4 linked regions of the Arabidopsis thaliana genome follow. The protein of the gene in region 1 interacts with the protein of each later gene in a pairwise test. Each region holds a gene or a part of one and is shown in the gene's direction. Other genes may lie near its edges.

What was found.
Region 2: the proteins of AT5G49130 (region 1) and GONST5 interact in a protein complementation assay, tested with the Arabidopsis thaliana proteins (one large-scale study listed by BioGRID).
Region 3: the proteins of AT5G49130 (region 1) and GPT interact in a protein complementation assay, tested with the Arabidopsis thaliana proteins (one large-scale study listed by BioGRID).
Region 4: the proteins of AT5G49130 (region 1) and AT5G35460 interact in a protein complementation assay, tested with the Arabidopsis thaliana proteins (one large-scale study listed by BioGRID).

What each region holds. Positions count from the first base shown.
Region 1 is NC_003076.8:19,912,930-19,920,575, forward strand, and holds AT5G49130 (MATE efflux family protein), read left to right. Parts: upstream 1-2,942; 5' UTR 2,943-2,974; coding exon 2,975-3,040; exon of another isoform or gene 3,041-3,153; coding exon 3,154-4,596; 3' UTR 4,597-5,038; downstream 5,039-7,646. Other genes in the region: AT5G49140 (Disease resistance protein (TIR-NBS-LRR class) family), read right to left, coding at 6,156-7,214.
Region 2 is NC_003070.9:7,674,817-7,681,779, forward strand, and holds GONST5 (golgi nucleotide sugar transporter 5), read left to right. Parts: upstream 1-3,391; coding exon 3,392-3,505; intron 3,506-3,601; coding exon 3,602-3,851; intron 3,852-3,946; coding exon 3,947-4,154; intron 4,155-4,336; coding exon 4,337-4,568; intron 4,569-4,659; coding exon 4,660-4,881; 3' UTR 4,882-5,027; downstream 5,028-6,963. Other genes in the region: AT1G21864 (Plant thionin family protein), read left to right, coding at 749-1,030; AT1G21866 (Plant thionin family protein), read left to right, coding at 2,683-2,964; LYM1 (lysm domain GPI-anchored protein 1 precursor), read left to right, coding at 5,873-6,539, 6,851-6,963. UniProt on the Arabidopsis thaliana protein: GDP-mannose transporter that may be involved in the import of GDP-mannose from the cytoplasm into the Golgi lumen.
Region 3 is NC_003071.7:17,298,810-17,306,793, forward strand, and holds GPT (UDP-glcnac-adolichol phosphate glcnac-1-p-transferase), read left to right. Parts: upstream 1-2,762; 5' UTR 2,763-2,952; coding exon 2,953-3,335; intron 3,336-3,413; coding exon 3,414-3,501; intron 3,502-3,589; coding exon 3,590-3,681; intron 3,682-3,770; coding exon 3,771-3,889; intron 3,890-3,997; coding exon 3,998-4,113; intron 4,114-4,202; coding exon 4,203-4,330; intron 4,331-4,424; coding exon 4,425-4,511; intron 4,512-4,675; coding exon 4,676-4,736; intron 4,737-4,830; coding exon 4,831-4,871; intron 4,872-4,953; coding exon 4,954-5,074; intron 5,075-5,161; coding exon 5,162-5,221; 3' UTR 5,222-5,402; downstream 5,403-7,984. Other genes in the region: LIS (WD-40 repeat family protein / small nuclear ribonucleoprotein Prp4p-like protein), read right to left, coding at 5,510-5,701, 5,805-6,002, 6,105-6,561, 6,968-7,694, 7,956-7,984.
Region 4 is NC_003076.8:13,668,524-13,677,008, forward strand, and holds AT5G35460 (uncharacterized protein), read left to right. Parts: upstream 1-3,965; 5' UTR 3,966-4,074; coding exon 4,075-4,155; intron 4,156-4,255; coding exon 4,256-4,375; intron 4,376-4,461; coding exon 4,462-4,519; intron 4,520-4,611; coding exon 4,612-4,712; intron 4,713-4,791; coding exon 4,792-4,887; intron 4,888-4,975; coding exon 4,976-5,069; intron 5,070-5,302; coding exon 5,303-5,540; intron 5,541-5,665; coding exon 5,666-6,023; 3' UTR 6,024-6,980; downstream 6,981-8,485. Other genes in the region: AT5G35450 (Disease resistance protein (CC-NBS-LRR class) family), read left to right, coding at 1-156, 234-377, 472-2,162. UniProt on the Arabidopsis thaliana protein: Glycerophosphocholine acyltransferase (GPCAT) that utilizes acyl-CoA to acylate glycero-3-phosphocholine (GPC), forming lysophosphatidylcholine (LPC).

The sequences.
Region 1 (7,646 bases):
ACAAATATTATTCTTACTAAACGTTTTTTGTTTAAATAAATAAATCATGTATTTGAACTTATTTACAATGTAATGACACTGACATTAATTATTTAGGAATGAAAATATTAAATCTTCTAAATCCTTGCTTTTAGAATTATTATGTCATTACTTAAAAGGCTCAAAATATAAAAAAATTAAATATTATTATTTATATATCTAGACTTTATAAAACATTATTAATATTTAAACTTATAAAAAGTTTAATATATCATAATTTTTTAATATTATTATATAATATATAGAGTTTTAAAAAATCTTAATTCTTTCCGTCATATTTTGTGACTCGAAATTTTAAAAATAAACATATATTAATCAATTGGCAAAAAATGTGTGAGTTATACGTCCCACATGAACTAAAATATTTAGACAATGATTCATAAATATATCATAAATAAGATTAACATTAATAAAATAATGATTTTTTTACAGGATGGGTTTGGCGGGACGCGATTTAGCAGGACGTTACTTAATAACAAATATAAAGTATAAAATAAAAATATTTTATAGCAAAATTTTATATATACTAATTTTAAAATATAAATTGTCTCCACGGTGTACCACGGGTTAAAATCTAGTTATTTAGTAATTATGCATCTCGTATAAACCAGCTACAAAAATATCAGTGGAAGGATCTTTATCAGCAAGCATATTAGAAAACATTAAAAAATGAATAGTAAACTATGAGTGGGGAAGCAAAAGAAGAGCGACGGCTTGCTATTGGAGACAAAGTTCATACCACACGAACTAGACGATGCATAGTATAGATATAGGTTAGGCATATGTCCATGCATATGTTACGTGTAGATTGAAAGGGCATCGAGATCAACGGTGGAGATGGAAGCAAGTAAAAATAGCCACGTGTGGAAAAAGCAAAAGAAGAGAAGAAGAAGATATAAGCGACGAAAGGAGAGAGGATATGTTTCCTTTGTGATGGGAACATCACAACTCTGTCTCTATTGGTACTTCTAGTTCACTACTTGTCTATGTTTTTTCTTTCAGTACTTAGTTTCCCCCACGATTTACACAACTTTCTTCTGCTCGTATTTACAGATTTTGAAGATTATTTATACATCTTTATATAGAACTACACATGAAATCGTATGAAAGCATGCATGAATCATGATTCATGTGTGTGAAAATTGACGGTATGAAGATGTGTATAAATTTTATACATCTGCGAAAATCATATCTTGTGGCCAAATATCGACCAATTGGAACGGCTTGCAAATTCTATGAAAACGATCGATATGAAAATCTGATTTACATATATAATAGTATTTTCAATTAAAAATCATTTTCCTCAATTTCTATATATGTGTATTTAGCATATATATATATATATATATATCAAATAAACCAAATAACTTCAATAATAATTTAAATATATGAAAATTAAAAAAATTCACTACTCATATGATATAATTCATCACTATAGAACTTATAAAATAAGATCCTGGTAAAAAAAGCATCAATCTTGTATTTCAGTAGTTTATAATGTTAAAATATATGTAATCAAACTTCTCATATTTTTATTAAAACCACACATGGGCTATCTAGCTAATTCACACACACATATATATATATATTGTTTTCGATTGTCATGATGATCATTTATCCACGTAAGCAGAGACAAGATGTAAAATGTCACTAGTTTATAGGGAGTGGAGTGGGAATAAGTAGGAAAAGGGAAAAAATTAAAGGAAAGGTATACATAATTTTCAAGTCGATTTTGGGTTGATAATTACAGTGAGAGGGAGACAACACATTGCGCTATACCTAATTCTAACTAGTTTCATTTCTAGACTGATGGACCAATCATATCACTTTCTACTAATATCGTTAGTTTGAGCTTCATAAATATCTTTTATCACATTTTATTTTAGAAAGGTTGTTGTTAGTTCTATGCATCTTTTTAAACCACACGAAGTTTCAAAAATATTCATAATAATATTTACGCCTTTATAACTAACATATTCAATTTCTTACATTTTATCATGGACAAAAAAAGAGAGTAGTTCCTCAGGAGAAATACAAATTCGATATCTAAAATCAAGTGTTAGTAATCTATTGGTTAATATTTTTTCAACACAAAGATTATTTCATGGTAAATGCATTTTTTAAGATAACAATTGTATGTTCGAACACTAGTTTAGATTCTCTATATGATTTTCCGATACTCAAAGAAACTATACACTCACTTTCTTAACAAATTTATTAGGCCAAATATATACTGTTTCACCGGAGATGCATTCATATTTACTATGGATTAGATAACAATTGTATGTTCCGAACACTATTTTAGTTTAATTTAGATTGCCTATATGCATGATTTTTTTATAACCAAAGAAAATATACACTCACTTTCTTAACAAAGATTAAATAAAGAGATAATCATAAATGGAACTTTGTACTAACAGAATCTTGAGAAGAAATTTGATTTGAGTTTTGTTCTTTTTTTTTTGTTGTTTTAAATTTCCACATGCCTATACTTTCGTTTGTTTATGTGACGCTTTTGTACGACAAAATCAGGTTTGGATTCGTACTTCTTTTAGGTCAATACATTCTTTTGTTTAATTCTGACCAAAAATAAAGAAATATGTTGTTTAATAAAAATGTAGGATATTGAGAGTCGTACTATAATAAAAAAATAAAAAAATCTCGAACTTTGATAGTATAAGAGATATACGATTAAATCTTGAACTTAATATCCTATATTTTTCTCAAACTATACTTAGTTTGTATTTATACTTGTATATATTAGAGTCCACACAAAGAAAAATGGATAACAAATAATGACATCAATATTTTGGGAACCCCCACCATGCCAAACCCAACTCCATGTTACAAAACAAAACAAATAAAATTTCTTTATAAAATGGCATCTTCTCTTCATATTTTTTAAATCTCTCATCTCAATAAACAAACACTAACAATGGTGGTCGAAGAAGATTCACGTCTCATAAATCTCCAACACAAGTACAACCCGACAATGCCCGAGGTACTAAATTAAATCTAAAACTTCTATTCTTAGTAAACTTCTTCCTCAGATAGAGTCTTTCAAATATCTCCTCTCTTATAATTATTATTTTTTTATTTAAAATATTTAAAAAGGTGGTGGAGGAGCTGAAGAGAATTTGGGACATAAGTTTTCCGGTGGCCGCCATGAGCATATTAAACTACCTAAAGAACATGACATCCGTCGTGTGTATGGGACGACTCGGTAGCCTTGAGCTCGCAGGAGGAGCCTTAGCCATCGGTTTCACCAACATCACCGGTTACTCCGTCCTCTCTGGTTTAGCCACCGGTATGGAACCATTATGTGGTCAAGCCATCGGTTCTAAAAACCCTTCACTCGCTTCCTTAACCCTCAAGCGAACCATCTTCCTCCTTCTCTTAGCTTCTCTTCCCATATCACTCCTTTGGCTAAACCTCGCGCCTCTAATGCTGATGCTCCGCCAACAACATGATATCACTCGTGTCGCATCTCTCTATTGTTCCTTCTCTTTGCCTGATCTTCTCGCTAATAGTTTCCTTCATCCTTTACGTATTTACTTACGTTGTAAAGGCACCACTTGGCCTTTGATGTGGTGCACGTTAGTCTCCGTCCTTCTTCATCTTCCCATTACTGCTTTCTTCACGTTTTACATCTCTCTCGGAGTTCCCGGAGTCGCCGTCTCTTCTTTTCTTACCAACTTCATCTCTTTGTCGCTTCTCCTTTGCTACATCTACTTGGAAAACAACAACAACGACAAAACCACTTCCAAGTCTCTTTGTCTTGATACGCCGTTGATGCTGTATGGTTCGAGAGACTCCGGTGAAAATGATGTGTGGTCAACGCTGGTTAAATTCGCTGTTCCGAGCTGTATAGCGGTTTGCTTGGAGTGGTGGTGGTACGAGTTCATGACGGTCCTCGCTGGATATCTCCCCGAGCCGAAGGTGGCGCTAGCAGCAGCCGCCATCGTGATACAAACAACCTCATTGATGTATACAATCCCAACGGCCCTCTCGGCCGCGGTATCCACGAGGGTAAGCAACGAGTTAGGAGCAGGACGGCCAGAGAAAGCAAAAACAGCGGCGACTGTGGCTGTCGGAGCCGCCGTGGCAGTGTCAGTGTTTGGACTTGTGGGGACCACCGTGGGGAGAGAAGCTTGGGGAAAAGTTTTCACCGCCGACAAAGTTGTCCTCGAGCTGACGGCGGCGGTTATTCCGGTGATTGGAGCTTGTGAGCTTGCCAACTGTCCTCAGACCATTAGCTGTGGAATCTTACGTGGCAGTGCGAGGCCAGGTATAGGGGCCAAGATTAATTTCTACGCCTTCTATGTAGTTGGAGCACCAGTGGCGGTTGTTTTAGCGTTTGTGTGGGGTTTAGGCTTCATGGGCCTATGCTATGGCTTGCTTGGGGCACAGCTAGCTTGTGCAATCTCCATTTTGACCGTTGTTTATAACACAGATTGGAACAAAGAGTCCTTGAAGGCTCATGACTTGGTGGGCAAGAACGTCATTTCACCTAATGTCGATCAAATTATTGTCAAATGCGAAGAAGGCCTACACTAACAGTTTTTCCTTCTCTTTTCTTTTTGTTCTTCATATATACTATCTCCATTTATGTCTCAATGATTTGCTTTTGTTTTAAAACTTATACATTTATGTAAGTGTCTTCATTGGACAAGGACAGAATGTAAAACTTTATGAAACACAAAACTGTTGAAGATTTTGCATTATTGAAGGGAGTGGAATCGTGGATTGGATGATGAAGACTTATATGGATGCGATGGCTAATGACCATGACGTGTAATATATATTGGGTGCATGAGTGTATATAGAGATACCGAACCACATGGAAAAACAAGAGCTAATTGGCCGGAACACATGTGCAAGCATGTGCATGTGTACCCATACAAAATAGGCATCATATTAGTGTCCTTGTGGCTTCTCGCTTCTTTTCTCCCACCTTAATTATCTTTCACAACAACTAAAGCTTTAAGCTCATACTTTCAGAAACCTTTAAATGGAAATATATGATTCTCATTTTCATTCAATTGAATCCAAACTAATGTTTACATGTTGGCAGTGGAATAAGCAGTTAGTATGTTTAATGAGGTTTAAAATGAAAGAAACATCATATACACAGTTTCAAATTACTACTGATAAAATATTATAAAATTTGTATCATTCAGATCAGAAAAAATGTGGCATAGAATTAATTATTAACAAAAAACAAAAAAAATGGTGATCGGTGATGAAAGTAAGTTGCCTAATTTCATGCTTGAAGCCATTGTATTTGATAATAACTACGTACGATTGCAAGAGAATTTTGCATGACTATCTTAAAGATATATTATTATTAGCCCTGAATATATTGCGTAGATATATTATAAAAAAATTGAATGCAAAATTATCTATGTTCCGGTAAGATTAGTCAATGAGAAATGGTAAGTCTTAATAACAAAATTTTGTTTTTTTTCGCCAACAATTTTTTTAGTTTTTTTGGGTAAAAGTAGAATAAAGAATCAACAATTAGAATTAGCCACGAATATATTTGGGTGTAGTGAAAGTAAGCCCGATCGAAGAAGATAGGTGGGGAGGGGATAAGGAGTGAGACACATTATGTTTTGTTTCCTTTGTTGTTAACAAATACTAAGACCTTTGAGGTTTGACGTTTTTTACCTCAAAAAACTTCATTACCTTCCGTTCGTACGTACCATGATGTGCCCTGCTTAATTAACACGTGTTCCTTCACCTTTTCACTGTTTTCTGTTGTTTATATTAACACTTTGGCTCGAGCAATTTTATCTACAATAGTCACTATTAAAAGAAGTTTTGATAAATCTTGAATTGAAAATTAGTCTTAAACCTTACCGATCTCTGTCAACATCACACGTACGGGGTTTGCAAGAACAAATCAAAGGCTTAAGCGTAAACTTGACACCACAATTATTAGTTGTTATTGTTGAACAAAATAAAACCAATAATGAAGCACTAATAACACAACATAACGTGCGAGTATTTTAGTGGATATAGTTTGAAATGAAGTTAAACTTTTAACATAAGTACTTTTTTTCATTTTCGAACGCTCCGACATCTTGTAGAAGTTCCTGATAGCTCCCGAATGCTTATGCATCTGTCAATATTTGTACACCACATTCCGTAATCTCGTGGTGTATGCTGCTGAATCCAAACCGTATCACATCCACTTCTTCAAGTAAGACTGAGTTAAATATAAACAGATGCGGTGTGACAAAGTCCTTGACAACTCCACCAAATCTATGTGCTGCGATGAGACGACCACTTTCACCTATGAGACGACAATATACAGTACAAATATTGTTCCTTTCGCTTGGGAAAAGTAGGATGCAAGCCTTAAATCTTAAAGATGAAGAACAAACATTTTCATCTTCTAGATGGATGGTCAAGGAACCTCCTCTGGCACGGTGACTGAACTCCAGAGGAACCTCTTTGCCAGGTAAGCATGCTCTCTTGTAAACCCATTGCTGCGTGATTACTCGTCGTGCTTCTCCATCGAAATTCATGGATTTGCTGAACTCGACTTTCGCATTTGGACAGTCGAAAGATGAAGATATTCTCTCAAGTGATTCACAATTTATTGCTGATAGAATCTTGATCGAACTTGGAAGCTCTGGCAGTGACACAAGTTTTCTACAATTATCGACGTATAAGTAGTGTAGCCAAGTGAGATCTTTGATACAATCTGGAAGCCTTTCAATACCGCTATCCGTTAGGTATATATACACTACACTCTTGGGGACATGTGAAAATATCTTGAGGTTTAGGCAGCCACTAATATCAAGGGATTCAAGGCGAGACCATTGACTAATTGATGGAGGTATTTCTTCTATCCCTGTGTTTTTCATAAAGATTCTTTCGATGTTCTTCGAAATATCTGGAAAACTTTTCAATTTTAAGCATCCTTCCATGTCAAGGACCTCAAGAGATGCCAAATTGATGTGAAGCGGTATAACTTCTAGCTTTTCACACATAGTCAGCCTCAACCATTTTAGTCTATGAAGATTCAAGACAGAGGAAGGAAGCTCCGCCAAACTTTGGCAACCTTCTAGACACAATGTCTCGAGACTTATTGCCTTTGAAAGATCCGGAACTTCTACTAAATTATTGGAGAAGCTCAAATCTATCGTCTTGAGATATGCAAGCGTCTGAATGCAAGAAGCACAACAACCAAAAAAAGAATGTATCAACAAAATATCAATAGTATAATAACATATGCAAACAAATTAAATAACATATCAATAAGATGATGATATATGCTATGCAATCAAAGAACAAATCAATAAGATGAGAATATATGCAAACTAAGAACAAATCAATAAGATGATTATATATGCAAACAAAGAACGTATCAATATAAGATAATATAATAATAACATATTCAAACAAAGAACACATCAATAAGATAATAATATAGGCTAAAGACAACATCAATAAGTTGATAATATATGCAAACAAAGAACACATCATTAAGATATAAAATATATGCTTATGTATGTTTGAATCATTCGGGAGAGTTTAGAAGAAATGAATGTACTACAACACTTACATAGACAAATAACATGTTTAAATATTGATGA
Region 2 (6,963 bases), on another chromosome or scaffold:
ACTGTAACAATATCGTTTAAGAAAATAATCGTTAAATATATAATGTTAATGTGGTTTAGTCAGGCATTATATTTTAAATAATTTGTGTAGGTAATTTTGATTAGGTATTTGAATTTAATAGTTTTATGGAAGAAAACTGGAGTTGTTAAAGAAATATGAATTTTAATTTTTAAATAAAGACTTTCAGATTGGACTAATATCATTCTATTTATCATTTTGGACATTAAATTCTTCAGTTTATTGTATGATAGCTAGATACGATTTGACCCTCTCCACGTAGAAATTCACTCTTTCCATTTTTTTTTTTCTTTTACCTCAAGTTCCACCACCGTATTGTATCGAGCCATCAATTGAAAGGTATGCATTCTTTACCATGTGCACATTACCATTTTCGTAACAAAAACGTGGTTACGAATTTAAAGAAGAAAATGCCACTAAGATACTTGTTGTACTGGCTAATATTTTTAATATGAGCTATTAATGTTACTATATTTATGCATAGCAAATAGTTGTTTAGATGACCAAAACAGTATAACACATTTATAAGTTGTCCAGAAATCAATCGATATATTTGCCAAAGAAAAAGAGACGAAAAAAAGTTGACCTCCTAATAGTTAGTTACTTCTAAAATCAGCTAAAACTATATTTACTATATAAATCATCCACATCAACCAACATTCTCACCAAATCATCTCGTTTCACCAAAAACATTACAATTTAAGATTTGCAGACTCACAATACTTACGACATGGCAGTTCAAGTGTCAAAGAAAATTTGTCGTGTATTGATGATTGTAATTTTATTTGCAATGATGTTTTCAGCTCATTCCAACTCGATAGATGTGTGTGTCAAAAATTGTGGCGTGAACCAGTGCATGAAAGCATCAAAGAAAGCGACTCCAGCTATATGTGACAACCCTTGCAAGATTATATGTGATCCTCTCAACAACGAGCGATACATCGTCCCTCGAGGTAATGGTGGTCCTATAAAAAGGTTCTGCAGAGCATTTAGCTGGATTTGTAGCGCGTAATTGATCGACATTACAAAAATTGTCTCCTTTCTTTATGCATATATTATATATTTATGTTTTTTTGTATCATTGTATTGATCCATATTTCAAGTACTTATGTATCCTTCTTCCATAATTTTATTATACCTAATACTCCCTCATTTTCAAATTATATTTGTTTAAAGTTTTTCAGACAAATTAAAATAATTACAATTAATTTCTGTTTTTCTTTTTATTAATATGCTATGATTTTTTATTCGTGAAGACATTAAAAAAAACTAAATTTTTAACCAAACATCTACATTGAAAAACATAACCAAAACTTATTATGAAACAAATTTTAAGTTATAAACGCCAATAAAGTTGAAACAATATAGTTTAAAAATAAAATAACTAAAATATATGATGTTAATGTGATTTAGTTAGGCATTAAGTTTCCATAATTTGTATAGCTAATTTTTTTTGAACATAATGTTAAATTATATTCAAAAATATATATATATATATATATATATATATATATCATGTTTACAACAAGTGCAACTGTTTTAGAAAGAAAGCTGAGAATATAGAGTTGTAAAAAAGAATTATGTAGGCATTTGAATTTAATAATTTTATGGAAAAAACTGAAGATGTTAAACAAATATGGATTTTATTTTTAAAATAAATACTTTCAATCAAATTATATTAGTCTTGAATTTATAGATTTTATGAAAAAAAAGTTTATTGTGTTTTCATGGAGGAAAATGACGATAAAGACAATATGAAAGAAAATTATGTTTACAAATGTACATATTTACCTGGGAGGAGTCATATTAAATGATCTAATCCGCCTTAGTGTATTGTATGTATCTAGAACCTCTTACTTATTCATAAACAAAAGTACATATTTTCCTTACGTTTTCTTATAAACAAATGTACATAATTTCCTACTTATATATATATATATATGTATTCAACTCAAAAATTATAGACAAAACAAAAGGATTACGTATTCTTTTTGTTCCTGATGAATCTTTCACCATATTTAAGAAAAACTATAGGTTTGAAAGAAAGAATGTACCCCGATGATCGCCAAAATATTTAAATCACATGAAAAATAACAATGTGATTTAGTTAGGCATTGAGTTTTTAGGATACTTTTGGTGGAATTGTTATTTTTCATTTTTAAAAAAGGAAAGATTTTTAGTGTCCAATGATAAATTCAATGATCTTAAAAAATTATGTACAGTGAAAGGTAATCATTCCTTGTTAACGGTATGTATTCTTTACCATGTCATGTGCATATTACGATTTTCGTAACAAAAACGTGGTCACGAATTTTAAGAAGAAAATGCCACTAAGATATGTGTTGTACAGGCTAATATTTTAAATATGAGCAATTAGTGTTACTATATTTATGCATAGCATGCAAATAGTTGTTTAGATGACCAAAACAGTATAATACATATAAGTTGTCCAGAAATCAATCGATATATTTGCCAAGAAAAAGAAACGAAAACAAGTTGACCTCCTAATAGTTAGTTACTTCTAAAATCAGCTAAAACTATTTTTACTATATAATCAACACAACATTCTCACCAAATCATCTTGTTTCAAAACCACAACAAAAAGAAAAAAGAAAGAAAAAAAACATTACAATTTAAGATTTTCAGACTCACAATACTTACGACATGGCAACTCAAGTGTCAAAGAAAATCTGCAGTGTATTGATGATTGTAATTTTATTTGCAATGATGTTTTCAGCTCATTCCAACTCGATAGATGTGTGTGTCAAAAATTGTGTCGTGAACCAGTGCATGAAAGCATCAAAGAAAGCGACTCCAGCCATATGTGCCAACCCTTGCAAGATTATATGTGATCCTCTCAACAACGAGCGATACATCGTCCCTCGAGGTAATGGTGGTCCTATAAAAAGGTTCTGCAGAGCATTTAGCTGGATTTGTACCGCTTAATTGATCCACATTACAAAAAATTTGTCTCCTTTCTCTATGCATAAGTTATATATTTATGATTTTTTGTATCAATGTATCGATCAATATTTCAAGTATTTATGTATCCTTCTTCCATAATTTTTTATCTTTAACAATATTTACTTGTATACGGAAAATTTGTTAAAAATCTAATTATTTATATTTATATATGTAACAACTGAAAATTGGTAACTTGTATAAGCATAATTTATGCTGCATAAACATATTTGCATTTAACTACACGGAAACTTACTAAAGAGAAAAAGAGAATTCTCGCATATAAAACAGAACCGTTACTCTGTTTCTCTTGGCGCTTTAATTAGGGTTTCTTATTTAGCTTTTGCATTGCCACATTCCTAAAGGTTTCATCTTTTGGATCCTTCTCTGACTCACTTCTTAAAACCCATCAATGGAGGAAGGAAGTCTGTGGCGTCAATGGACTATGTTCAGATCTCTGTTATCGATTCTTCAATGGTGGGGTTTTAACGTTACTGTTATCATCATGAACAAATGGATCTTTCAGGTTTAAAAAGTCTCTTACTTTTATCATTAAAGACTTAGCCTTTCGTTTGTTTTATCTGATCTGCGTTTGAAATTTGGTACCTTTCCTTGTTTGCAGAAACTGGATTTCAAGTTTCCATTATCAGTTTCATGTGTTCATTTCATATGTTCGTCGATTGGAGCATACATTGTGATTAAAGTCTTAAAGCTTAAACCTTTGATTGTGGTTGATCCAGAAGATAGGTGGAGGAGGATTTTTCCAATGTCATTTGTGTTCTGTATCAACATTGTGTTGGGGAATATTAGTCTTAGATACATTCCTGTCTCTTTTATGCAGACTATCAAATCTTTAACTCCTGCAACAACAGGTTTAGGGTTTTTTTAAGATTGAGAATTTTTCAAAATAAAGTGATTTTTTTTTATTGTTCTGATTGGTTTTTGTGTAATGGTTTTTTGAGTGCAGTTGTGTTACAGTGGTTGGTATGGAGGAAATATTTTGATTGGCGTATTTGGGCGTCATTGGTGCCTATTGTTGGAGGGATTCTTCTTACTTCTATTACAGAACTTAGCTTTAATGTGTTTGGATTCTGTGCTGCTTTGTTTGGATGTTTAGCTACCTCTACAAAGACCATTCTTGCAGAATCTCTTCTTCATGGATACAAATTTGACAGGTCAATGTTCTGTTTCCTGAGGTTTTGATCTTCAGTTTCACATGATAGGTGTTGAATGTGTGAAACTTACATTTGGTTTCAATGACATGCCATGCTCTCATAGTCCAATACTTGATTTGCTTTTTCATATTTCATGGAACTGAGTGTTTGTGTCCTCCTCATTTTCATGTCTCTCTATGTAGCATAAACACGGTATACTATATGGCGCCTTTCGCGACCATGATTCTCGGGTTACCTGCATTTTTACTAGAAAGGAATGGAATTTTGGATTGGTTTGAAGCACATCCATCTCCATGGTCGGCTCTCATAATTCTTTTCAACTCAGGTGTTCTAGCTTTCTGTCTTAACTTCTCCATCTTCTATGTCATTCAATCCACAACAGCAGTCACATTCAATGTAGCTGGAAACCTTAAGGTAAATGAACAAATCCCAAACCACATAACATTAATCTTTATATTCTAGTTTCAATAACTCAGATGTTTGATGGATGGTATGTGATTTGCAGGTTGCAGTAGCTGTGTTTGTTTCATGGATGATATTTCGAAACCCGATATCACCGATGAATGCTGTTGGCTGCGGAATCACACTTGTGGGCTGCACCTTTTACGGATATGTAAGACACATGCTTTCTCAGCAACAACCCGGAACTCCTAGGACTCCTCGTACCCCAAGGAACAAGATGGAACTGATCCCTCTTGTTAATGATAAACTCGAGAGTAAAATTTGAATATCATCGGTAAGTCACTAGACTATTGAACGCACACAAAGAAGTTAGATTTGATCTTGAACATCCACAAGAGAGTTATAGTTTAACTATATGTTTATTTTTACTCAAACTAGAGAAGTTAGAGAAGTGCCATTTTATTTGTTTCCATTGTATTAAATTATCTATCCTCATCAAACCAACTCAGAGATGACCACAAAGATACTTAAAGCAGGCCCATTTTTGTATTCAATTATGGTAGTGCTTTCACTTACCTCAGCTTTTTAATTTTTCCTTCCAATTTTGTTTGTGCCATAGTGCCATGTTCTAACATCAGAGACTTAATACATGACAAAATGGTGCAAGTTTGGGAATCTTTGAAAGAAGATGAAAATAGAAAGTTAATTTGACAATATATAAGAAATGATTATTCATTTTCCCGCCTTGATACATGAAAGAGCTTAAGACGGTGTTTAAGGGAAACGAATATTTTAGCTCTCAAAACAGCTCATCAAATTCGTTGCTTTAGCTTCTCAAAAGTAAAAAATGGGCTTTTTCAAGTGGGCCTCAACTTATGTTGCTGAATTTACCGCCATATCCTTCCCTTACAAAAAATCAATTTTCAAAAAATCTTCATGCTACAGTAGTCTGAAACCAGGTCAAAGGAGTTAAAGAGAAAAGGGCAAAACAGTCAAACAGCATAAAAAGATGTCTGTGTCTTGGAGATCGCAAAGCTACCGTTTTCTGTTCACTCTGTACAACACACTTGTCTCCTTCTTCCTCTCTTCTCTTCTCTCTCTCCATTTCAAAAAGGGTGAAACTTTTCTTCTCTTTCTAGAAGAAGAAAACCAGAGATACAGAGAGATTCTCTCTCTACCAAACCCCTGGAAAAATCTCCAGATTCATCTTCCATAGACCAAACTAAACTCTGTTCACTGTACTCTCTGTCATTGTCCTGTAAGAGAAATTGAAAACCCTAGGAGATTTTGAATTTCGTAAAACCCTAAACACAAAAATGAAAATCCCAGAAAAACCCATCTTCTTAATCTTCGTCTCTTTGATCCTAGCTTCGAGCTTAACCTTCACAGCGACAGCGAAATCAACAATCGAGCCTTGCTCAAGCAACGACACTTGCAACGCTTTACTCGGCTACACACTCTACACCGACCTCAAAGTCTCAGAAGTCGCATCTCTCTTCCAAGTAGACCCAATCTCTATCCTTTTAGCTAACGCCATCGATATCTCTTACCCAGACGTCGAAAACCATATCCTTCCTTCGAAGCTCTTCCTCAAAATCCCAATCACTTGCTCCTGCGTCGACGGAATCAGAAAATCTGTCTCTACCCATTACAAAACCCGACCTTCTGACAATCTAGGATCGATTGCTGACTCTGTTTACGGAGGCTTGGTCTCTGCTGAGCAGATCCAGGAAGCTAACTCGGTGAATGACCCGTCGCTGCTTGATGTTGGGACTAGTCTTGTTATCCCCTTGCCTTGTGCTTGTTTCAATGGCACCGACAATTCTTTGCCGGCTGTTTATTTGTCGTATGTTGTGAAGGAGATTGATACATTGGTCGGAATCGCGAGGAGGTATTCGACTACTATTACTGATTTGATGAATGTGAATGCTATGGGAGCTCCTGATGTTAGTTCTGGAGATATTCTCGCTGTTCCTTTGTCAGGTCAGGTCTACACAATCTTTAAAAGTTGTATCTTCAGATGTTTGTATAATGGGAAGTAGTTTCTATTGTTAGTTGTTGGTTGCCAAATTGGGATTTTTGGTGTAGCTTTGTGGACTTTTGATTGTTTCTTTCATTGCTGGTTGATTGTTTTCTGGGTTTTGAATCTCATTAAGGTATTGTTTTTGGCATTGAATGAGTTTGAGCTACCAAAAGTTTCCCTCTTTGTGGTATTTTTTTGGCTGAGTTTACTTTTGGTAAGGGAGCAATTACAGATTATTAATGTTTGGTTCTGTATCTTTACCTTCTCTCAGCTTGTGCTTCAAAGTTCCCCAGATACGCTTCGGATTTCGGATTGATTGTTCCAAATGGTAGCTATGCTCTAGCTGCAGGTCACTGTGTGCAATGCAGCTGTGCGCTTGGGAGC
Region 3 (7,984 bases), on another chromosome or scaffold:
ACATAGTGCCTTCACTTTCCTTTTGTTTACAGAAGTTGTTTTTAAAAAATTGATTTATATTGCTATATACACTTGGTTGCCACTATGATGAATTAATGGGTTTTGATGTATAATAGTTTTATTATAAATTTATTTGGAAAATAAACATGCGTTATTTACGAGTTTCGTGCTAACGTCCTTTCAAAATCTGTTTCAACCTTAATTACAAGAAAAAAAAAACAGTTTTAAACAACAACAACAACAACTTCAAATATATATATACATCCTCCCAAAATATTAATGATTCGTTTGCTTTACTTAAAGCTTCTTTGCTATATCCTCAAAGTTTAGCAATCCATGAAATAAACAAACGTGTTCACAACGTAATTCAGATATAAGCCGTCACTATTTTTCCCCGTTCACATCAGCCTCACTTGTAGTTTTGTCTCAATCGAAATCATTGTTTTTATATTTACTACAAAAAAGAATCTAATAATTGAGATCGAATATAGAAGAAAAATGAAATACTCGTTGTTACATTTGAAATTCGTAACGTATAGTGTCTCTGTCTGTATGGATGCGTGACATGTAACGTTGTTACAATATATCTTGGTTATCTATATTTTATTTCTTACTAGATAAAGCCCGCCTAAATAAGCGGGTATAAGATGTAAATGTAATTTTTATCGATAATATTTAAATTTTGAATAGTAAAATAATAATCGATACATTGTTCTTGATATATAATTTTGAATAGTAAAATAGTAGTCTTATGCATTTTATTTTGTTATACCCATTCAATCTTATTGATGATATTTGAAGTCTAAATAGTAACCTACACACTTTTTCTTTATTGTAATTTAGTATTTAGAAGAAAAAATAAAATTTTATCTTATACATTCAATTTTGTAATACAATTTAACTATCTATTTCATAAAAAACTCGATTTTAATTTTACACACTTCATCTTACTTGATAATGATTTCATGTCAAAATAATATATATATATAAGATCAAATCTATATCTTAGTTAATATTAAAAATTATTAACAATTAACAAAACATAATTCATAATAATAAAACATTTGTTAATACCATATATATTAAAAATTTGACCAATAACATATATATATATTTTTTTTGTTAATTTTCCTTTTGGTTAAGAAAAATAAAATGTAATATTTTTTAGATATAGAAATATGAATTAGTATATGTTAATAATGATTTCTTTTTTTAGTTTTCTATTTCTTTAAGAAAAAAAAAGTTAATTATTTTCTTACACATGGCAACATCTGATCGATAGACTTGACACGTGGCATAATCTTATGAGTTAGTAACTTTGAAAACCATACTTTATATAATAAGATTTTTTTTTGTTAATTTTTCTTTTGGTTAAGAAAAATAAAATGTAATATTTTTTAGATATAGAAATATGAATTAGTATATGTTAATAATGATTTATTTTTTAGTTTTCTATTTCTTTAAGAAGAAAAAAGTTAATTAATTTATTTTTTAGTATTTCTATTTCTTTAAGAAGAAAATGGTTAATTATTTTCTTACACATGGCAACATCTGATCGATAGACTTGACACGTGGCATAATCTTATGAGTTAATAACTTTGAAAACCATATTTTATATAATAAGATGTTGATTTATTCTTACTTTTTTTGCTATATCTTTCCTTATATTTCATACTTAATATTTTTTTTTTGTTTCTAAGATACATACATTAACTCTCATATTTATTGTCTTAACTAAATTTTACTTTTATTTGTACACGTGGCTTCCCCCCACAATATTTTTGACCCAAATCCAAAAAAAAAAAAACACTATCAATAATATTTCCTCTTACCATTTATGTCTTACACACAAGTGTCAAAATATAGTAGAAGACATAGAAAATGTTTAGATTATGATTAAATATCACAAAACTTTTGTGACATAAATCATGATCCATATGCATCCAAGTTCTAATAATAGGTCGATTCGATCTTGTAAAAAAAAAAAGTAATTAATAGTAAAAGATTTTGTATTGAATTTTGAGATATTTTTCTCTCACTATAAAAAGATGAATTGTGTAGCTAGAGATCATAACAAACTCTGAGGAGATTCAAGCTAAGGTACATTTACAAAAACTTATTTTAAATTACAATGGGTTGTTGCATTTTCGAAACTGATCCTACAGACCAATAAGTACTATTCAGTTAATTTGAAAACACTTACAAAAAAAACTAAGATATAATTTAGCAACTTTAACATTTTTTATTATGTTTGTAGGGACATTAATGGGAAACTGGTGTAGTTGTGTAACAAAAGATGAAAATAGTGATAATTCTAGTAGCTCTCAAACTTCTACGGATAAAGAAAGTAGTGTGCAAGTTTCTTCTGTGAGCACTACGTCTTCTTCAGAGATTTCATCTGAATGTTCTTCTTCAAAATGATCATCTCAAAGCTCCCAATGATGGAAGCGTAACTAGTGAGCAAATGTCGCATGGATCATCTTCTTCATCTTATCAATAAAAAAATCTTCAAAATAAATAATTTTCTATGTCAATTTTTATATTAAAAGAAACTTTGTTAAAAATTATGACTATTAATTAATAACTATATTATTACATAATCTTTTAAATATAAGTTTTAGTTTTAATTTTTAATAGTTGCTTTATGTCATGCTGATGTGTTGCTACAACAAAATTCTTAGCAAAATTTATGCATTTTTTTCTTAAAAAAAGAGAGTTCTATAAGTATAATCCAAGATATATTCTTGTACTTAATACGAATAATTAAAGTTATGATTAATCCATAAAGTTCTATTTCGATGACACGGTGTCGTATTTGAAGCGACGTGGCAAATCCTTATTGGTCTATATGACGCAGAACGGGAATTGCTCTGAAGAATCCTTTCTCAGGCGAACGGAGTTTGGAGTCAAAATCCAGAGCGCGGGGAAACGAAACGAGCCAACAAATCCGCCATGGCAGCTCGTAAGAGAGCTTCATCGATCTCAATTCCCAACAAACCGGACCCGTCGGAACCCAACTCAGCGCCATCGGAGCAGAAGATGACCCGAAAGACGGTTTCTGCTTCCGGTGAGGAATTTCGTCTCGCGCCGCCGAAATTAGGAGTGATCTTCGTGATCTCTACTCTTCTCTGTTCGCTCTATCTATACCTTCTCTGTTTTCACTACAAGGTTGATAATGAGCTCAAGCGATCGATTCTAATTAACGCGGGGCTTAGCTTGGTTGGGTTTTTCGTCACTCTCAAAATGATTCCTGTTACTGCCAGATACGTTCTGAGACGTAACATGTTTGGTTTTGATATCAACAAAAGAGGCACGCCTCAAGGAGATATTAAAGTGTGAGTTTTTATCAATCTCTGATTTTCCAAAGATTAAGATTAGTTTGATTAAAATTTCTTCATCCTCTTTGTTTTCAGGCCAGAGTCATTGGGTATTGTTGTTGGTATTGTCTTTTTGATCGTGGCGATAATATTTCAGTATTTTAACTTCACTGAAGATTCTAATGTAAGTGTGCATTAACGTCTTGTTTTATTAATCTCTGTGGTTATTCTCATTATCAATGTTTGTGAGTCTGGCTGATGATTCTGTGCAGTGGCTTGTGGAGTATAATGCAGCACTAGCATCTATTTGCTTCATGATTTTGCTTGGATTTGTAGATGATGTCCTTGATGTGCCTTGGAGAGTGTAAGTCCTAATTCCTACATATTTTTTTGATGAAATTCACGCTTATCGTTTTTGATTCACATGTTTACTGTTGTCAATTTAAACAACAGAAAGCTTGTCCTGCCATCTTTTGCTACCCTTCCACTTTTGATGGCTTATGCTGGTCATACAACTATTGTTATACCAAAACCTCTTGTTGCTTATATTGGCTTGGAAGTGCTTAATCTAGGTAATGGTTCTTGTACATGATACCACCTATTTGTACACATTGACTTGTATTTTTCTTTTGAGGAGGTAAATGATTATGATTAGCTCAATAGATGTTTTAACGTGGCAGGAAGGATATATAAGTTATATATGGGGCTACTTGCTGTCTTTTGTACAAACTCTATTAACATCCACGCTGGTCTGAATGGCCTTGAAATCGGTCAAACAGTTGTTATTGCCGCTGCTGTAAGTCTTATGGTCATACATAATGTCTCTGAATTTTTCTCATTTTGTTTCTTTTGGGTTGAGATATGATGCATCCCAGTTACCTGTAGATCCTGATACACAACGTTATGCAAATCGGAGCATCTGTTGATCCCGAGTATCACCAAGCTCATGCCTTCTCGATATTTCTTACTCAACCGCTGATGGCCACATCCTTGGCAATGCTTGCTTACAATTGGTAAAATCCCTAGCAGGCTTTCTCTTTAAAACTTTTTTTTTTTGAGTGGAAGTAATGATATTTCTGACCAGTTCTCGCAATCTTCTGCTGTTAGGTATCCTTCTTCAGTTTTTGTTGGAGACACTTACACAGTCTTCGCCGGAATGACTATGGCAGTTGTTGGTATTCTGGGTCACTTCAGGTATACTTCCAAACCCACTTATCTTCTCTGAGGCACAGGCACTTCACTAATACATGGAAACTACCAACTCTTAGATTGATCATTTGCATCATATATCCAGCTACTGTATGACCATGCAACTGATTCCCATGCCATCTTTCTGTATTGAAATTTTGCTTCTGCAGTGAAACCCTCCTCATCTTCTTTCTTCCTCAAGTTCTGAACTTTCTATTATCGCTTCCTCAGGTTCATATCACCTTTTCACTCTTCTATGGCATACGTATAATCTTGTCAACTCATGTTTCAAAAATTTAACATACTATATATGATAACTCTTCAGCTTGCTGGGATTGTGAAATGTCCGCGCCATCGTCTCCCAAGGTAACCCCCTTTGTTTTCTTACCCTTTGTAGACTGATTAAAGAACAGACGCATCACTCATCTTGTCTTTTGAAAATATCCAGGTATGATCCTGCTACCGGATTACTGACCGGCACAAAAGATGGGACACTCGTCAATGTTTACTTGAGGTTGTTTGGTCCTAAATCAGAAAAGTCTCTTTGCATCCATCTTCTCGTTTTCCAGGTAGGTCTCAGATATATGTATATCGCCATTCGTATATAATGAAGTAGTCGCTTTAGTGTTGTCATACTCTGCTTGTTTTTGCTACAGGCTCTAGCCTGCGCCTTCTGCTTCATACTTCGACACTTTCTTGCTGGTTGGTATAAATAGTCTGCAATCAGAGAAGTCACAAATACAGAACATTACTTTAGTACCTTGTACAATCGTATATATCAACAATTTTTGTTAACGTGTTGAAGTATTCTCAAGTAAACAAAGTTCATTCATTTGCTTTTTGTTGAACGAAATGGCAAAATTTTCAAGACAATGTATCAGCATCCTGAGTTTCTATAATTCCCGACAAGAGATCAAATACAATTTAATGAGTTTCTCTAACAAGCTAATCTCGAAATCCCTAGATCCCAAGTTTTTTTTCTTGCACAAACATGAAAAATGAAACTAGAGATCTATGTCCATTGTTTCTTTCTCTTCGTCTTCATCATCATTTCCACTGCTTGTCCATAGCTTGATGGTGCGATCATGTGATACAGTAGCGATACACGAGCTATCTGCTGTGATATCTAGAGAGGCGACTTTTGACTCATGCCCTGCTAAGCTTTTAACGAGCGAGAAATCTCTTCCTGACCATATCTGGTAGACAAAATATAAGAAATTGGAATCAAACTATAAGCCAATGAAACAGAAGACTGAAAAAAAAAAAAATACTAAGGCAAGGGATTATAGAAGTAGTTACATTGACTTTCATGTCGTATGAGGCAGTGGCCAGAAAGTAGCCTTCTTGTGGCTCATACTTCACTTGAGACACAAGGTTAGCATGAGCTGGTATAATGTACAATGACTTTCTCATTCTTAGATCCCAAATACGGCATTGATTATCCTCCCCACCAGATGCCAAGTGATAACCATTAGGAGAGAAATTCACGGAGAAAACCTGAAGAAACATATAAAACAGAGGATATTAAAACAAGGGTTAGTAAATAATCACTTTTGCTTGGATACGAGGAGGACCAATGGAACAAAATTAGAATCTTACCGGTTTGATGTGTCCTTGGAAGACAAGAATACTCCTACCAGTGCGGAGATCCCAAACTCGTGCGAGTGAATCAAGCCCACAAGAAGCTGCTAATGCTCCATCTTGTTGAAATGCAATTCCGTAGACACTGCGGCTATGGCCTTCTTGCAAAAGCAGTTCTGCTCCTGTGTTTATATCCCACAATCTCCACGTCTTGTCATAGCTTGTAGTTCCCAGGTATTTCCCTGATGGGTGGAAAGCAACACGTGCCAGACGATCCAAATGACCTTCAAACGTTTGTAGGAGTGTTCCATCAGTTTTCCACAGCTTTGCAGTTCGATCAGCAGAAGCAGTCGCTAGACAATCATCCACTGGGGAGAACACTACATCAGTTGCACGTTCTTTGTGATCCTTCAAGACAGCAATCGTGTTTGTAACTTGAGGCATCTCCCACAATTTAGTAACTCCACTCAGAGAACTAGACAAAAAAAAAATCGATGAATTACTAAACAGAAGGGAACTATGTGAATCACACAAGTCATGAACCTAGAGAATGCGTAATGCAGTTAGAAAGGGCAAATGCAATAGACATGGAGTATGCTATCTATAAGATAAACTATAGGCCTAACTAACTTCATGGTTTTATAAAGGTGCAGTGTTTAAAAGTGAGGAAAATCAGCAAGTTCAGTGTTTAAGAACAGGATTATTAAGATACTTCTCTACTGATATATCAATGAAAATGAATATGCAGGTAGAATGCAATCTAGTCCAGGTAACTCTAATCAAATAGAGACGAGGAAAAATAGTTTCAAGCCTAAGAAACAATATGTGGAGAATATGTGAATTTGTGTTGAGAGTGAGAAGGAGATAGAAGAGAGACATACCATGTGGCAAGTATCTTTCCATCGCGTGAGAAGGAGCAGCCGGTAAGAGGACGATCATCTCCAAAATTACTGCAATCAAGGGCCATGTGTTTAGCATGCTTTAAAGCCCACTTAGTCTCTGCATCCATATCTTCATCTGGATCATCCCTCCGCCGCTTTGCACGCTGAATCCTGACAGCAGCTCTCTTGACAGAAAACTTGGCAATTTCTATTCTAGCCTCTCTAAGTTCCTTTGGACCCTCGGTAAAAAAGGGGTATTCAAGAACTTCATCATCTACTTCCTCTTTTGGAGTCACATCTTCTTCGTGATCTTTAACCAGTTTATCCAATTGCCCATTGATATCATACCTAGTCAACAGCTGAGTCAGCCTAGCTCGTCTCTCCATTTCCTGTTCTCCAAATAGAGTAATGGGCTCCCCAAGTCGTCTAAGTCGGTCCCTAACAGCTTTGTCATTTGTTGGAACTGCCATAGCAGCAGCACGACGCTTTACCAACAAATCTTGCAATGCCTTTTCCTGTCTTTCTCTGACCTGCTTACTCTCTTCAGATATCTCAATATGTTCATCATCTGATTCCGAATCCGAGTCACTGGTTTTCACTCCACCATTTTGTGAAACAGGTGGCCTAAAAGTAGGTGGGCGGGCAACTGGAGGATGTGGCATCATAGGTATTGGAGCCATTGGTGGGGGAAAAGAAGGAGGAACCACAGGTGGAATGGCAGAGAAACCTGAAGTTACAGTAAAAGTGAAACATAAATTACTAGAGTTAAAGGATCACGAAACCAAAGAAAACCCAATGCACTTCTTTAATAATTGGAAGAACGAAACAGTATCTGGACTCTACAGACCAAATCCTTAAGCTCTAATCTAGATGCATTGCGAGAAAAATACAAAAACAAACTCAACCAGGAAAAAGTGAAACAGATTTAAGGAATTCAACTGCACTATAATCTTTGATGTAACAATTTACTTGAATGCTAATTAATTACCTGGCAGAGACGAGGCATCTTGTAGAACT
Region 4 (8,485 bases), 6.2 Mb from region 1:
GGCCACACGATGGTGAGATCTTACAGATGGACGAATATACAATCCAGGGTAAACTCTTTCAGTTGTTGGAAACCGGTAGATATTTGGTTGTCCTCGATGATGTATGGAAAGAAGAAGACTGGGATCGAATAAAAGAAGTGTTTCCACGGAAAAGAGGTGAGCTCTTATGGTACATACATGACGCACTTTATAAATGCTTTTTTATCCGTAACATAGACACAAATATTTTGCAGGTTGGAAGATGCTACTTACTTCTCGAAATGAAGGAGTTGGGTTACATGCTGATCCAACATGTTTATCTTTTAGAGCAAGAATCCTAAATCCCAAAGAAAGTTGGAAGCTCTTTGAGAGGATAGTCCCTAGAAGAAATGAAACTGGTACACTTTCAAATTTAAAATTAAGATCAAGAATCTAGGAAATTTTATTTTTCAGCCAACATGTTGAAATGTATTACCTTGTGATACTATGCAGAATATGAAGAAATGGAAGCCATCGGAAAGGAAATGGTCACATATTGTGGAGGACTACCATTAGCTGTTAAAGTTTTGGGAGGCTTGTTAGCTAATAAACATACAGCTAGTGAGTGGAAAAGAGTTAGTGAGAATATCGGAGCTCAAATCGTAGGAAAATCGTGCTTAGATGACAACAGTCTCAATTCGGTTTACCGAATATTGTCTTTGAGTTATGAAGATTTGCCAACGGATTTAAAGCATTGTTTCCTTTACCTAGCCCATTTCCCTGAAGATTACAAGATAAAGACACGGACATTGTACAGTTACTGGGCCGCAGAGGGAATTTACGATGGATTAACCATCCTTGATAGTGGAGAAGACTACCTAGAAGAACTAGTGAGGAGAAATTTGGTTATTGCTGAAAAGAGCAATTTGAGTTGGAGACTTAAACTTTGTCAAATGCATGACATGATGAGGGAAGTATGTATATCTAAAGCCAAAGTAGAGAACTTCCTCCAAATTATCAAAGTCCCTACTTCCACCTCTACCATCATTGCTCAATCTCCTAGTAGATCTCGAAGACTCACCGTACATAGTGGTAAAGCCTTTCATATACTAGGACACAAAAAAAAGGTCAGATCTCTTTTAGTTTTGGGACTCAAGGAAGATCTTTGGATACAATCAGCTTCACGCTTCCAAAGCTTACCATTGCTCAGGGTGTTGGATCTGTCTTCGGTAAAATTTGAAGGAGGGAAGTTACCTTCTAGCATTGGAGGGCTCATCCATTTGAGATTCTTGAGCTTACACCAAGCTGTGGTATCTCATCTACCTTCTACTATTCGGAATTTAAAGCTTATGCTCTATTTGAACTTACATGTTGCTATCGGGGTGCCGGTTCACGTGCCAAATGTTTTGAAAGAGATGCTAGAGTTGAGGTACCTTTCCCTACCTCTGGATATGCATGATAAAACCAAGTTGGAATTGGGTGATCTAGTGAACCTGGAGTACTTGTGGTGTTTCTCAACGCAACACAGTAGTGTGACAGACCTCCTCCGTATGACCAAGCTCAGGTTTTTCGGTGTATCTTTTAGTGAAAGGTGTACTTTTGAAAATCTATCTTCATCTCTCCGTCAATTTCGAAAGCTGGAGACACTTAGTTTCATTTATTCGCGCAAAACCTATATGGTTGATTATGTGGGAGAATTCGTTCTGGATTTTATTCATCTAAAGAAGTTAAGTTTGGGAGTACATTTGTCAAAGATTCCTGATCAACATCAATTACCTCCCCACATTGCACACATATATTTATTGTTTTGCCACATGGAGGAGGATCCAATGCCAATTCTAGAAAAGTTGCTTCATCTGAAGTCGGTTGAATTAAGACGCAAGGCTTTCATAGGGAGGAGAATGGTGTGCTCAAAAGGCGGGTTTCCTCAATTACGTGCTCTACAAATATCTGAACAATCGGAGTTGGAAGAGTGGATAGTAGAAGAAGGGTCGATGCCATGTCTTCGTGATTTAATTATACATAGTTGCGAAAAGTTGGAGGAACTTCCTGACGGACTCAAGTATGTAACATCCTTAAAGGAACTGAAGATTGAAGGAATGAAGAGGGAGTGGAAGGAGAAATTGGTTGGAGAAGATTACTACAAAGTCCAACACATTCCCGATGTTCAATTTTTCAACTGTGACGACGAACAAAGAGAATAACCAGTAGCAGGTAAAAAATAAACGGTATAATAATGTTCACTTTTCAAAGTCATGTGGACAGTCTCAACTTTTATACATTGTTCTAAAATCGATCATCTTTTAAATAGATGCAGGAAAGAACAAGAAGCTAGTCAAATTCTCTTATATTGGGAGAGATAGAGGCTGCTTCACAAGAGTCATCTACTGATAAATCTCTGGAATACAGATTCTGAAGTACTACTGATTACGTTGGAGCTCTCGCTTTCAGTGCATCGTTATGTTGTGGCTCAGAACTATATGCTTTTTATTGATGTTTGTTTTCGGTGTGGATGCATGGAACGTGCTTGAGAACTCTTTCATAAAATTGAGAAACGAACCTTGTTTTTTTTGTAGTTCATTGTAAAAATTGGATATTTATGTTTATACGAATTTGTTTTGTTTTCTCGTTTGTGATTTAACACAGTTAGCTAGCTTTTGTAAGCTTTATTTACATCAAATCTGGTTAGATTTGTTTTTTATCACATTTAGGCTTAAGTTTTGTTAGTTTTGCACCTCTTTTACTGTGTACGCATAGTGAAGTCATGGTTGAACCAAGACGAGCAAAACTGATGTACAATAAACAAAACAATCTCATTTTGTACAAGTTTTTTGTTTCATTTTAATTTCTTTTATCAGTACTGTGTGATATTTGCACTCGTGACTTAGACTTGGGTCGTTGAGGGATTAGTCGATTTCTTGTTCAGGAACAACATAAGATTGTCAGAACAAAACACCAGTTTTTGTACTTTTGTTTTTAAATCTTGTTTCAACTTCAGACAGACCCCCTTATTCTATGGCTTTAGTATATTTGTTTACTTTTGAACAATGTTCAAAAAAGTGTTAGGCGATAAACGGGCGATGACCCAACGCCTAGCGTTTAGAACGCTTAGTCGGGGTTTAAGTGATTTTAGGTGGTTTATCCGTTTATGACATAAAACATTTTAAATATGATATTATAGATAAAAATCATATAAAACTATATATTAGAAAATATTAATCGGATCCTAATCAAAAATTAGATAAAAATGTTTCTTTAATTTATATCAACAATATATGAATGTTTATAACCATGTGTAGAAGTAAAACTTATAAAATTTAAGCAATATTAGTTAAAAATAAAAAAAATATACTAAAACGAAATTTATGTTATTTTAGGCAGTCGAGATGATTATTTAGGCGTCAACTGAACGCTTAGCGGCATATAAACGACCGTCTAGACCGCTTTTTACAACACTGCTTTTGAATCTTTCAAACTTCATCCAAAAACAAAACTAAAGCTTCTGGAACATGTGAAACCTTGTCAAGAAACTCTAGTTTTGAACTCATAAAACCTAGTTAAGAAGTTTTTTTTTTTTGTCGGCACCTAGTAAAGAAGTTATACCACAGCATTCTTTTTTTACTTTTTTTCTTTAATACAAGATGCAATTAAACAAAATGTTCCTCTAACTATAATAATGTAGAAAAATACGTGTACGCTAGGAAATTTCTCGACCCGCGCAAAAGAGGGTCCTAGAAGTTTCAACTTTCGACACGTGGCTCCTTCTCAGTCTCTCTTATTAAAGTCTTTAAATTATATAATCACCAAAGGCAATTAATGGAATTAATTTACTTTGAGGACTAATATTCCATCTGATTTCCCAAGATAAAACATAAAGTCCTTATTACTTAATTATGAATGTAATTATTGGATTACATGTAATTAATCACCACTTTATAAAACTGAACAAAAATAGTAACGAATATAAAGAGTTTAATAATGATTTTTGGGTCATTTTCCTTCACCAAATTTTTAATTCCGCATAAAGTAAAATATCCTGAAAACAGAAAAATTCAGTGTTTTCGGATTCTCCTTTAAAAACGACAAAAGCATCTACAGAGAAATCTGACCGCAATAATGGCGAATAACGAAGATTCAAACTCCAATGGACTAGACTCGTTTGATGCTGTTAAACAACGTTTCAAAGATCGATCAAAGGTACAACATCAGATTCGATTTTCACCATTTTTGATGTTTCTCTTTTGTTCCAATTTTGTTGATTTTGACTTTGTGGACCAATTGTTTTTGATTTTGACAGAAAGTTGTTCAGACGAGAGAGTTGTTGTCTAAACAAGCGGTACAAACGCGTGAGATCTTATCGAAACAAGCCGTTAAGATCGCTAAACAAGCCGAAGAACATGAGAGATTCATCAATAAGGTTAGGTTTCTCTCTTGATTCTTCAATCATGTTTTGATTTTAAGTTACTTTGGTTTGAAAATGTTTGGTTCTGTAATGTTTTAAAGGTGACACATCTCGTTGGTGTGCTTGGATTTGGAGGTTTTTGTTTCCTACTTGGTGCAAGTGAGTTCAAAGAAATTGTGTTTTTTTTTTGTTTTTTTTGTGTTTTGTTCTTAATTCAATGTTGTTGATGTTGATGATGTTTTCGTTTTCAGGACCTCAAGACATTCCTTTAGTTTACTGTTTCTTCTATGTGATCTTTGTTCCTCTTCGATGGATATATTACCGGTTTAAGAAATGGCATTATTATCTTCTGGTAATGTCTCTTTTGAGGATTTGGAATTAAGAAACAGTCGTTTTGATTGTTATTGAAACAATTTTTGTGTATGTGATAGGACTTTTGCTACTATGCCAATACAATCTTCTTGGTTGATCTTCTTCTGTATCCTAAGAATGAAAAGCTTTTCATGGTTTGCTTTTCCTTTGCTGAGGTATGCTTTTTAACTACATGTATGTATATGAGTCTTTTGTGTCATTGTGTGTGCTGATTTATTTTATTGGTTGTGTCTTGTGCTGCAGGGACCATTGGCGTGGGCGATTATTGTCTGGCGTTGCAGTCTGGTTTTTAGTTCGCCGGATAAGATTGTTAGTGTTCTTATACATCTCTTACCTGGTGAGTTCTATAATCTTCTTGTTGACAGAAGAAGATATGTTATTGATTCATATTGCTAAAGTTGACGGCTTTGATTAAAGTAGTTGTATGAATTCTTAGCTTGTTGTTCCCCTCTCAACCGTTTTTAATTCAAACACATGGTTCCTTGTTGTAATGCATATGATAGATATAGTTAAGCTTTATGCTCTCTCTCTCCATTGTTTCTTTATTATTGTAATGAATTTTGGTTTCAGGGCTCGTGTTTTTCACGATTAGGTGGTGGAATCCAGCGACTTTTGCAGCTATGCACCCTGTAGGCACTGATCGTAGGGTTTCATGGCCTTATGTTGAAGACAAAGCTTACCTATTCACATGGCTGTTTCTCGTCCCCTTAGTCGTTTATACTCTTTGGCAAGTGCTCTATTTTCTAATCGTCAATGTCCTGCGTAGGCAGAGACTCCTTAGAGATCCTGAAGTTATGACTTCTTACAGGTATCTCTTGTCTACGCCGTATGTTAATGTTCTCCTCATATTGATCGCTAAGGTCACAGCATAATGTAATGTGTTCTTACCATAGAGTGAACACTTGTATTGATGGAATCCTTTGGTATGTGCAGAGAGCTGTCGAAGAAAGCTGAAAAGGCAAACAATAAGTTGTGGCAGCTGAGCGGTCTGCTAGGGGATCAGAATCGTATATGGATGTACATCCTATTCCAGGCCATCTTCACGGTGGCAACCATGGCATTGACCGTACCGATCTTCCTATCTTATAGACTTCATGTGATCTTTCAGATCCTAAAGATTTCTGCGGCTGTGTGGAACGGAGGGAGCTTTTTACTAGAGGTAATGCCACGGCAAGTGATCCAGAAAGAGAAGAAGAAGAAAGCTGAGATGCAGCCGATAGAGGAGCAGATACTACATCATGAAGCTGTGTCACATCCGACTGAGAATGAGCCAAAATCTACTGAAACATGATCATGGTTCTAACAAAAAGGTACATGTAAAATAAAGTTTTCAAAGGTGAATCATGATTGGTGTTTTTTTTGTTCCTCATGTTTTGTTCTATAACTGTTTGTTTCTCTTGTTGCTATACATCATTCTAAAAGCTTAATGTATGTGAATGATCTTGTAGTTTATTTTTTCTAAAGAAACTTGTTATTTACTCTTTAGCCAAAGTTTTGATCCTGTTTCGCTAGGACATTCTGGCCTTAAAATTGCATTATGAGAGATTTAACTATATTTTTAACGCGTTTTCGAGAAAGGAAAATCTTCGGATTTCAGCGAAGTAGATTGGGATAAGTTCTCCTTGAGACGCGGATTTTGTTTTCTGTTTCTGCTGTACAAAACAACCATCACTAAAGATCATAACATTCATGTGTTTGATAGTGCATAGTTCTCGAACATGTCGTTACCAGCCGCGGAATAAGCTTAATAAGTATGCCGATAGCATTATGAAATCCATCATGTCCGATACGACTATTGTTCAGTGGAGATGAAGCTTAATAACTTGAGTTCCGCCAAAGAATTCACTCAAAAATCGACCATGAAGAGGATTTTGATCGATGCAAATCGCCCCTGTAACGAGCTGATTTGGAAGAAGACTCAAGAACCACCAATTTGCACCGTACGGTCAAATTGAGTCAAACCAAACCGAAGAGCCCCCTGATGTACTTGAAGACTTTCTGCTGATTATATTCACCCTCATGAAAAGACTACACGACGTTTAGAAGCTGCGACTTTAACTTAGCTCTCGACGCCATCACCGAAGATCCTCCATTATAGCCTAACGGCTAGAATCATCACGCTCCTCTCTTTATTTCGCATTATTCGGTTTCCTTTTCTAAGTTTTAGACCATTGTTGTACTTTTCAATTTAAGCTCTTTGATTCTCTACTTTGTATTCACGCTTTGATCAATTGAAATTCAGTTTGTTTCTTGCTTCAATACTTTGTATCTTGAATCAAATCTGTTCTTGCGAGTTCTAGGTTGTTTGTAGAATCAAATACTTCTCATCTAAAAGCTTCCATCGCTCGCTTCTAAGCATTGGACCCGTGAGCCTTGTCTTGGTGGAATCCAGGACGTGTAGTCGTGTATCACATGAAATGAATGGAATAAGATTTTGATTATATAATCTACAAAGTAGGTCGCATTAAGATACATGCCAAATACCGCACTGAACAGAGAAAGAAAACAGAAAATCAATGTAAATATTGTTGGTGTGTCCTTGACTACAATGTTTTTTGAAAAATTATCTTGATCATGTGTTTTGTCAGGTCCGAGTTGTCCATGATATCAATATTCATGATGGTAATCGATCAACCTTTGAGAGTATAGTAACAACACTTGGCATATTTCTCACTTACGCTAGTCTCATTTTTTGTTCATTCAATGAAAAAACTTAATTTTATGAATAAAATTTCTCGAAATGCGCTTAAGACCTTGACAGTACGACAATCTATATTTACTAAACTGAGAAAAAATTGCCAACGCTGTTAAGGAGGTTGAGGTTGGACATGGGTGGTGGCCGGAACCAGCAAAACTGATCCACTAGCACGGCGAATACAAGACCTTTTTTTTGTGACACTATCAATGGGTTCGAGTTGACTATTCGGTTTCCGTCTCTGAGCCGATTCTAGCGACTTGCTTGATCCGCAATAAATCTCCCAAAATGCTAATTAACATTTTTAGATTCTAATATTTTGTTATAAGCTTTTGAGACTGTACACATGAGATTTTAAACGACCAAAGCTATCTCGCTAATTAACATTATTATAGATTCTAGTTATTTTTTATATTAAGATTTTTGTATAAAGGAAAAAAGTAACATATGAAATAAGAAAATATATGGATTTTGGAAAATATTTCTGAATCTTATTATATAAAATATGGTTTTCAAAATTAATAACTCATAGGATTGTGCCACGTGTCAAATTTATTGATCAGATATTGACATGTGTCAGAAGAGATTTAACTTTTGTTTTTCTTAGAAAAATAGAAAAACAAAAAATGAAACAAATCTAAATATACTAATTTATATGTCCATATATAAAATAAAATAATAATTTTTTTTCCTAAATGAAAAAGAAAAATTAACAAATTTAGTTATCAATGTGTTATTGGTCATTTCAATTTAGCATGTAATTTTAAAAAAAAAAATCATTTACGATGGATAATAATACTAATTAAAAAGGCCCTTAAAGTTTAAAATAACAATATAATTTATTTAACATTAATTTAAGAGCCCCTTAATTTAATTGGCTATAAAAAAACAAAAAAGCGAAACAAGTCTACATATACTAACTTATATGTCTATATCTAAAAGAACAAAAATTATTAACAAAAAGGAAAATTAACAAAATTCTTTTTACATTTGTTTTGGTCAATTAAATTAGCATGTAATTTATTTTTAAAAATTATTTAGTATAGATAATTATACTA